Arabidopsis thaliana: one gene and its partner. The protein of the gene in region 1 interacts with the protein of each later gene in a pairwise test. Each region holds a gene or a part of one and is shown on either strand. Other genes may lie near its edges.

What was found.
Region 2: the proteins of TRX2 (region 1) and BUD2 interact in binary tests that used the Arabidopsis thaliana proteins (3 or more experiments, as listed by UniProt).

What each region holds. Positions count from the first base shown.
Region 1 is NC_003076.8:15,990,153-15,994,210, reverse strand, and holds TRX2 (thioredoxin 2), read left to right. Parts: upstream 1-2,232; 5' UTR 2,233-2,329; coding exon 2,330-2,476; intron 2,477-2,562; coding exon 2,563-2,685; intron 2,686-3,194; coding exon 3,195-3,326; 3' UTR 3,327-3,524; downstream 3,525-4,058. Other genes in the region: AT5G39960 (GTP-binding protein), read right to left, coding at 1-16; AT5G39940 (FAD/NAD(P)-binding oxidoreductase family protein), read right to left, coding at 3,650-3,751, 3,857-3,898. UniProt on the Arabidopsis thaliana protein: Thiol-disulfide oxidoreductase probably involved in the redox regulation of a number of cytosolic enzymes. Possesses insulin disulfide bonds reducing activity.
Region 2 is NC_003076.8:6,310,921-6,314,998, reverse strand, and holds BUD2 (Adenosylmethionine decarboxylase family protein), read left to right. Parts: upstream 1-1,626; 5' UTR 1,627-1,783; coding exon 1,784-2,827; 3' UTR 2,828-3,274; downstream 3,275-4,078. Other genes in the region: AT5G18933 (uncharacterized protein), read right to left, coding at 655-727, 837-872, 1,303-1,363, 1,552-1,612. UniProt on the Arabidopsis thaliana protein: Essential for biosynthesis of the polyamines spermidine and spermine. Essential for polyamine homeostasis, and normal plant embryogenesis, growth and development.

The DNA of each region.
Region 1 (4,058 bases):
CCAGTGACTGAGACATTGCAGACGACAAATTCAACTTTATGGGTATACGAAGCTTTGCATTTGTGAATCAGTTATGAAATTGGAAATGAGAATCGAGAGAAAAGATTGAAGCTTTGAAGCAGAAGGATGAAGCTAAAACCCTAAACCTTTTGGTTCACCGGTGATGAGAATCGAGAGAACTCTGCCGTTGTTTGGTCATGCCGATTTGTCGACGTGAGTGATGTGAGATTTACATATGATATGACGTCGTTTTCCTATTTGGGTTCTAAAACCCCACTGGGCTTTATAGTGGGTTGCTTTTAAATCCATGTAATAAGTAAGTTCGATTTATTTACCGTTTGAATTCGGTCAGAATTCGATCCGGACTTTGTAACGTTTAATATGACTGAGCAATACTAATTAAGCTGACTGACGGAACAATACCAATTAACCCAATTTATGATAGTTATGTTCAATTTTTTTTTTTTGTTTATCGTTTTAAACATTATTATTGTAGGTAAACTACTTCATAATAGGATTAGATCAAATATTTCTAATGATGATATAATAGATAAAAAAACTAAAAAATATATATTTTTAATAAACTCTATTATTTTTCAGCTCAATTTAGTTTTACTTAAATTAAAATTATTTTTGATTCAGGTCCTATAAACTGAAACCTAAATAATTTGATCCGTAATTCATCAAATGAAATCTTTGTACAAATTTATCTTTTAATTCTTAACAAAATTGTTTATCTCCTAAATTTTTCATACTTTTTTCCAAAGCTTATGAATGCTCCACAACAAAATACAACTTGGTGAACATTTTGCCAACAAATAAAAATTTTCAAATGCAATAACACATTATGTGTTATACTATGCTTTAACGACTAATTTTTTGCGACACTAAAATGAAAACAGTAGTTTGATACATTTGTAAACTGATGCATTTTTAAAAAGATTGAATAAATTTTACATTCTCTCTTAAAAAAACCATACTTACAACAAAATCTAAAATCGAAAGAGCTACAATCCAAATCTTTGGTATTAATATTTCGGTTTGGTTCGATTTGATTATACAGTTTCAGTTTGGTCCGGTTCTTTATTTTTCACATTAATATTGAGAGAGTCAAAAAAAGCTCCACAAGCGAATCATAGTTGAGAGAGCCGACAAAAGCTCCACATAAACTTGCCAACTTCCTTTTCTCATAATCTTTGTAGAGTTCTTTCAATACATTTTTGAGTTCTTTAGCTTTCGACTTAGAAGTAGAAAGATCCACATACTCATAAGCTTATAAGTTTTTTCAAGAATCTGCAACTTCATCTAGGATCCAAGATTGCACCCATAGCCAAAATGATATTGTAATCCTTTTTGAGCTAGAAAGAAGCTTAGAAAGTGATGTGGACAACATGAAGACGCAATTAGATGTTTATTTGGATGAGCCAAGGTTACATAGAAAGGCTTTTCGAAATTTGGATGTTTTGAGCTATTGGAAAGAAAACCAACACAGATTTGGTAACTTAGCATCTATGGTGCATGACATACTTAGCATTCCTATCACGACAGTAGCATTTGAGTCTGCTTTTAGCATCAGAGCACGGGTCTCGAGTCCATACATGAACTGGTTGCTTCCGAAGAACTTTCAGACTCTGCTTTGTACTCATAATTGGTTGCGAGGATTTGCGGAATATGAAGGTAAAAATATTGTGTAGTTATGTTTTAAAACGAGGTTTCTTGCAGTGATCATGTTTTAAAACGAATTCATACTTTGAATTGTAGGTACCCTAAAAGACATTGATGATTTGCAACCAATATGCAAGGATGATTGCAATTAGTACCCGAGCAGAATCTTCAAGATCAGAAAATTCAAGTGCACCATGAAACAAATGTAGAAGAAGCAACATGTTTTGGAACTAAGAAGAATAAGAAACTTATTGTGTTTGAAAACTTGAACATGTTTGAGTTTGATTTATAGATATTAGTGTCTTTCGATTGGTAAGAATTTGAAATTTGATGGTAAGTGTTGATTTTAGTTTGTTTTATAAAAGGTTAGACACATTCTTGATTTAGTAGTTGTTTTGTGTTCCGAGTCACTTAAATTGCTTTTTTAATTTATATCTAAATGGGTATATGAGTTTAAATGGGCAATTTTATAAATCTTAAAATTAAATAATTTTAAATGGGGTAGATTTTAAATGGGCTAAATGAGGTGGGCATGCCCATAGTTGACCAGCTCTAGTGGTAGAAACGGCACGATGTTTGAATATTAAACGACACGATCGTTGACCAAAGAAAGCAGGGTCGTTCTTAAACGCAATCAGAGAGAGAAGCGAGACGAGAGACGATAATGGGAGGAGCTTTATCAACTGTGTTTGGAAGTGGAGAAGATGCAACAGCTGCAGGGACCGAATCTGAGCCAAGTCGCGTCCTAAAGTTTAGCTCTTCCGCTCGGTGGCAACTTCATTTCAACGAGATCAAAGAATCAAACAAACTGGTAACGTCTCTCAGACTCTCGATTCGATTCAATCGATTTCGTGTTTCAATGGAATTTAACTGATTTGGTTTCTGTGAATAATAAAGCTGGTGGTTGATTTCTCGGCCTCATGGTGCGGACCATGTAGGATGATTGAGCCTGCGATTCATGCCATGGCTGATAAGTTCAATGATGTTGATTTCGTCAAATTAGATGTTGATGAACTTCCTGTAAGTATCTCTGTCATAAAGTCTTCATCTTTTTTTTGTAATGCTATCAAAAGTTTCTGACTTTATTTGTCTCTGATTGATCCATAGACTATAGTTTACTGTTTTGTTTTACCTAAAATTCCTCCATTGGAGTGTTGTGAGAAGAAATTGGATAGCTTTATGGTACATAAGTGCAGATCAATCTAGTTCTGATATAACATGAGATTTGGTGTTTTGTAATGAGAAAAATATCTAAACTTGGTGCATCTCTGTCATGGTTATACTTTGCCAATCAAAGTTTCAACTTTTGTGTCTCTGTCTCTTGTTTTGACTGATCCATACTTCTCTGTTTTTCTCTGATTATGAGTAGAAGTTAGATTATGTTAAGGTACAACTGCTAATCACTCGAATTCTGATATATAGATGAGAAGTTGGTTGAAATGGGTTCACATAGCTGCTTCTGTTTCAACAGTTATTGGATTTTGTACTGAGAAACAATTTTAAATTTATTGCATGACTAATGTTTTCAGGATGTGGCTAAAGAGTTTAATGTGACGGCAATGCCTACCTTTGTGCTGGTGAAAAGGGGTAAAGAAATTGAAAGAATCATTGGTGCCAAAAAGGACGAACTTGAGAAGAAAGTTAGCAAACTCAGAGCATAATGAGCATTGTTAACGCCTTAACCAATAGTCTTGTGTAAACTCAATAATAAATGGTATGTTTATGGGGAATGTGATGTTCTATACTCTCTGCTAATGTAAGACCTTCTGTGTGATGCCATGATTGATTGAAATGGTTTGTTGAAATGCTTAGACTCTGCTTTCAGTGGTTTATGATACAAAGTTGACACCTTTTCAGCTTGTGCGTGTTGCAACCATATCATAGCTACAATAATAATGTCCGATAATGCTCCTACATAGATAAATAGAAACTGTATTTTGACAAAAAGAAAAAAAATGTTGACAGTACTTTTCTTATAAGCAAACTACAATCCTATAGTAACTTTTCTTTCTTTCGAACTTATTCTGCTACTACTTGCTAATTCGCCGATGTTTGTGCCTGCGATATAACCACCTGACCAAGCATTCTGCAGGTGTGAAATTTCATTTAGGAAAGTAAAAGATATGGTTTTTGTTGTTTCGTTTAATACATTTGAGTAAAAGATATTTCAATGCTATAACTAAAAGTTCACCTGGAAATTGAATCCTCCTGTAACTCCATCTACATTTAGTACCTGAATACACAAATGCAAGTAAAGATATGTTACATTTATCATGTCATGTGTGTGCGTGTGTACATGGATGCCTACTTCCACATGTCATGTGTCCATGTTCCAAATGCATTGTTTTACTAAATCACACAAATGAATTGTTGAAACATTGTTGCAATGCTTA
Region 2 (4,078 bases), 9.7 Mb from region 1:
GCATATATACGAAGAAAATAATTTAAAGTTTTATGTGCATTAGCGATTGTTTGACACACAAGCCACTAAAATTGATGATTCTTGCAGACACTTGTTCCATTGCCCTTTCAAGATCTTTTGTGTCTTGTCCACGATATAGTATGTGTGTGTGTGGCTAATCAGATATATTATTTAATATGGGCTACGTAAAGATGTGTCATGTGTACTTTGTTTTGGCATGATGAGTGATACATAACGGGTGATTGGAACCAATGTACGAGAGCCTCGTAACCGAATTGTAAACACGGTTTCTTTTTTCAGTTTTTTTTTTTTTTTTTTTGCTTAATTAATCGGTAAGTTAAGGTCTATCGGTACTATTTGTTTATGTGTTGTATTTCGTGTGCCAAAACATTTTTGAACCTTCCATTATAAGCTTTGTAACACAAATATTGGCATCCATGGAATAACAAAGAATATGGTATTACATTGAGATATATATTGACAAGTTCATTCGATCAACCAAATCGTTTCTTCTACTTGTGAAAGTAGATTTAACTCTTTGAAATTCTTTCTTCAAGAATTTCGTATCTGTCAATTTGTTTGTTCTTGTACACAAGCTTTTAGTTAATGTTTTACATTTTAAATAAACTCCATGGAATAATATATCCTGAAGTCCTAGTTGATAGCATAGCCTAAACAAGCCTTTCCACTTCTAGTGTCGATCCTGCGATAGTTTTTGTACGAGAGCCTAAAGATAGTCAAAAGATATACATTTCACATAACTATTAAACCAATTATCTTAATTATATGCTTTATCAGCTTCAAAACCAACTACTACAATATATAAGGAAAAATACCCCTCCCCTTGAAATTTTTGGATGGCATAAACACCACTAAAAAAGGTAATGCCATCAATTAGTGTCACCAGTCTTTTAGGAATATGATTGGTAGCTTTTGAAGCGAGACATTTTATGGCTAACATTTGGAATGACTAATGTCTTTGAGATTATTATATGTATATAATTTTACTGATAACATAATTATATGGAATCCAAAATTCACATTAACTAATCCATATTATGGTGAGACAATTTGGAACGAAAAGTTCGTACCGAACCGTTTTATATAATTTATGTAAACAATATTCTTCAAAATTAGCTATTTTGAGTTTAAGATTTAAAAGAAAATCTTATGAAAAAAACATATCTTAATTCAGTAAGTAGAATGATCCGAAATAAATACTTTGCACAATTTCATAGTTCTTAAAATAAATAATAGTCAAAGGAGTTAAACCATGTTTTATTATTAAGGCGTCAATCCTACATTTTTTGTTGTTCATGATTTTGCATTTCTGCGATATTATCAAATCGAACTAACATATCACCTGCAAGAAAGATTTGATTATAAAAAGTAATAGAAAAAAACATCCAAATTTGCATGCGCTTAACCACCCATGAAACTCCTTCTCATTACAGAACAACACAAGAATACAGAACAGAATCAGACGCACACTAACTAGATCTCTCACATACACAGATACATACACGCATACATACAAAACAAAACACAAACTCTCATCATCTTTCTCGTTCATTATGCCTACAATCATGATTCTTGGTCTCTTAACCCGCATGCTCCTTCTTCTCTATCCTCCAAACCCTCTCCTATAAATACCACTTCTCTCCCACTAATCACCACTACCTCTCTCTTCTCTCTCTACTCACACACAAACACATTTCCTTTGCCGTGTTCTTCTTGCAACTTCCTCTGTTCTGTTTCATAACATCTTCTTCTGATCTTTGCAATGGCAGTGTCTGGGTTCGAGGGTTTCGAGAAAAGACTCGAACTTCGGTTCTTCGACGATGACAAACCAATCACCAAAAACCCTATGGGACTCCGTCTAATAGACTTCGAATCTTTAGACCAAGTCTTAAACGAAGTGCAGTGCACAGTGGTCTCCGCCGTAGCGAATCGTAGCTTCGACGCTTACGTTCTCTCAGAGTCAAGCCTCTTTGTATACCCAACCAAAATCATCATCAAAACATGTGGAACCACGCAACTCCTCAAATCAATCCGACCGTTGATCCATCTCGCACGTAACCTCGGCCTCACGTTACGCGCGTGTCGCTACTCGCGTGGCAGCTTCATCTTCCCTAAAGCTCAGCCTTTCCCTTACACAAGCTTCAAAGACGAAGTCATCGTCGTCGAAGAAAGCCTCCCAAAATCTCTCTGTTACCGCAAAGCCTCTGTTATGACGCCTTCTAATAACCCATCACGTGCTTGGCACGTGTTCACCGCAAGCGCTGACGTGGAATCCGACGAACATGTCGTCGTAGTCGAAGTATGTATGACGGAGCTGGACCGAGTCAACGCTCGAAGCTTCTTTAAACGGAAAGGTGACGAGAAAAACAACAGCGATTCCGCCGGGAAAGAGATGACGCGGCTCAGTGGTATCGATAACATAAACGCAAACGCTTATATATGCGATTTCGCGTTTGATCCTTGCGGTTACTCGATGAACGGCGTCGACGGTGACCGTTACTCAACTATCCACGTAACGCCTGAAGACGGTTTTAGCTACGCGAGCTTCGAGTGTGGTTTGTCTCTCTACGACAACGGTCACGAAGATATCTCTGAGGTGTTAAGCCGGGCCATTGATGTTTTCCGTCCAAGTGACGTCTCGATCGCCACCACTTACGGCGGCGAAGATTACAACCACGAGGTGACTAAGCGCGTGGAGCGTGTGTTAGCTAAGAAGCTTGATCTTAAGTGTCGGAGCCGTCTTATGGATGAGTTTCCAGGCTCCGGAACCGTCGTTTATCAGTCCTTCACGCCTCGTCGGAAATAGGCTTCGCCGGAGGAGTAAAAAAGGAGAAAATGTTTTAATTAGGTTTCAATTAGCTTAAAGGAGAAAAAAGAAACAGGTAATGACGTGGAGGGAAATGATTGGTTGACTTGGGTTTAAGGAGGATATTAAGTGGGAACATATGATCATGCACCCCACTTTGCACTTGTGGCAATGTCACGCCTAAGCATTTTTGAGGTTCAGTGTTGTAGAATTTTAGTGGGGGATGGTAAAAATGGTTTGGTCTGTTTTTTTTTTGTCTTTCTTTTATTTCTTCTTATGTTTGTTTTTTATATTTTCGATTTAAATTATCTTAAATCTATATATCAGACTGTTGATATACGGTTTTAATCGTTCTTACTTTATATGGTTACAAATTCATTCACCTTAAAAGTAAACTAATTATGATGTGAAAAATATTGTAAAACAATTTCAAAAGATCCTTAGCTACTGTTCGATATGTTTTGTCGTTACCAAACATATCTCAAGTCAGAATTAGCACCACAATAATATTGCCGGTCGACGACACTTGTATTTCAAGTTTAAAATCCGTTAAAATTATAGTTAGCAAACCTTCCATCATCTTTTACCTTTACACATTTGTAGTATTTAGTGTCGTATCATTTTGTTGCTAGTCTCCATCACATCTACTACTACTACTACTACACTGAACAAGATCAAGCATAGAACAATCAAGAATGAAATAAAATTTTAAAATTATGCATAACTTGAAACTGTGACCCTAAAAACTTGGATAATATTAAGGACTTGGCGGCTCATGCTCTTTTTTTAGGCAAATGCTTTTTTTTCTCCATGTGTGTGTTTGACATTTAACCATAAGAAGTCAAAGAATGAATAAATTTTAAAATCTATTACTACATACTAAAAAAATTAAAATCCAATGAATCTAAAACTCATAAGGCAAAAAAAGTAAGGTTACACTTTTTGTGGCTGACCAATTAAAAGTATTAATATGTGATTTACTTTTAATAATCGCGCATGTAAGTTTTCCCACCGCAACATATCAAAATCCAGTTTGCACGTGAGAATAATTGGCTAAAAAGTAAACCTTAGCCAAAAACATGACTTATCTCAGTTCATCCCAAGTAAATAAATCAAAAATCAAATCTTTTAACGAGCTTGTTTTGCTCTTCTTATATAGTTTCTGGAAGAGTGATGTACAAAGGTTCTTCGCAAAGGAGTCAAACGTTCAAGATCTCATTATAAAGCAGAGCCAAATTCTACCACGAAGAA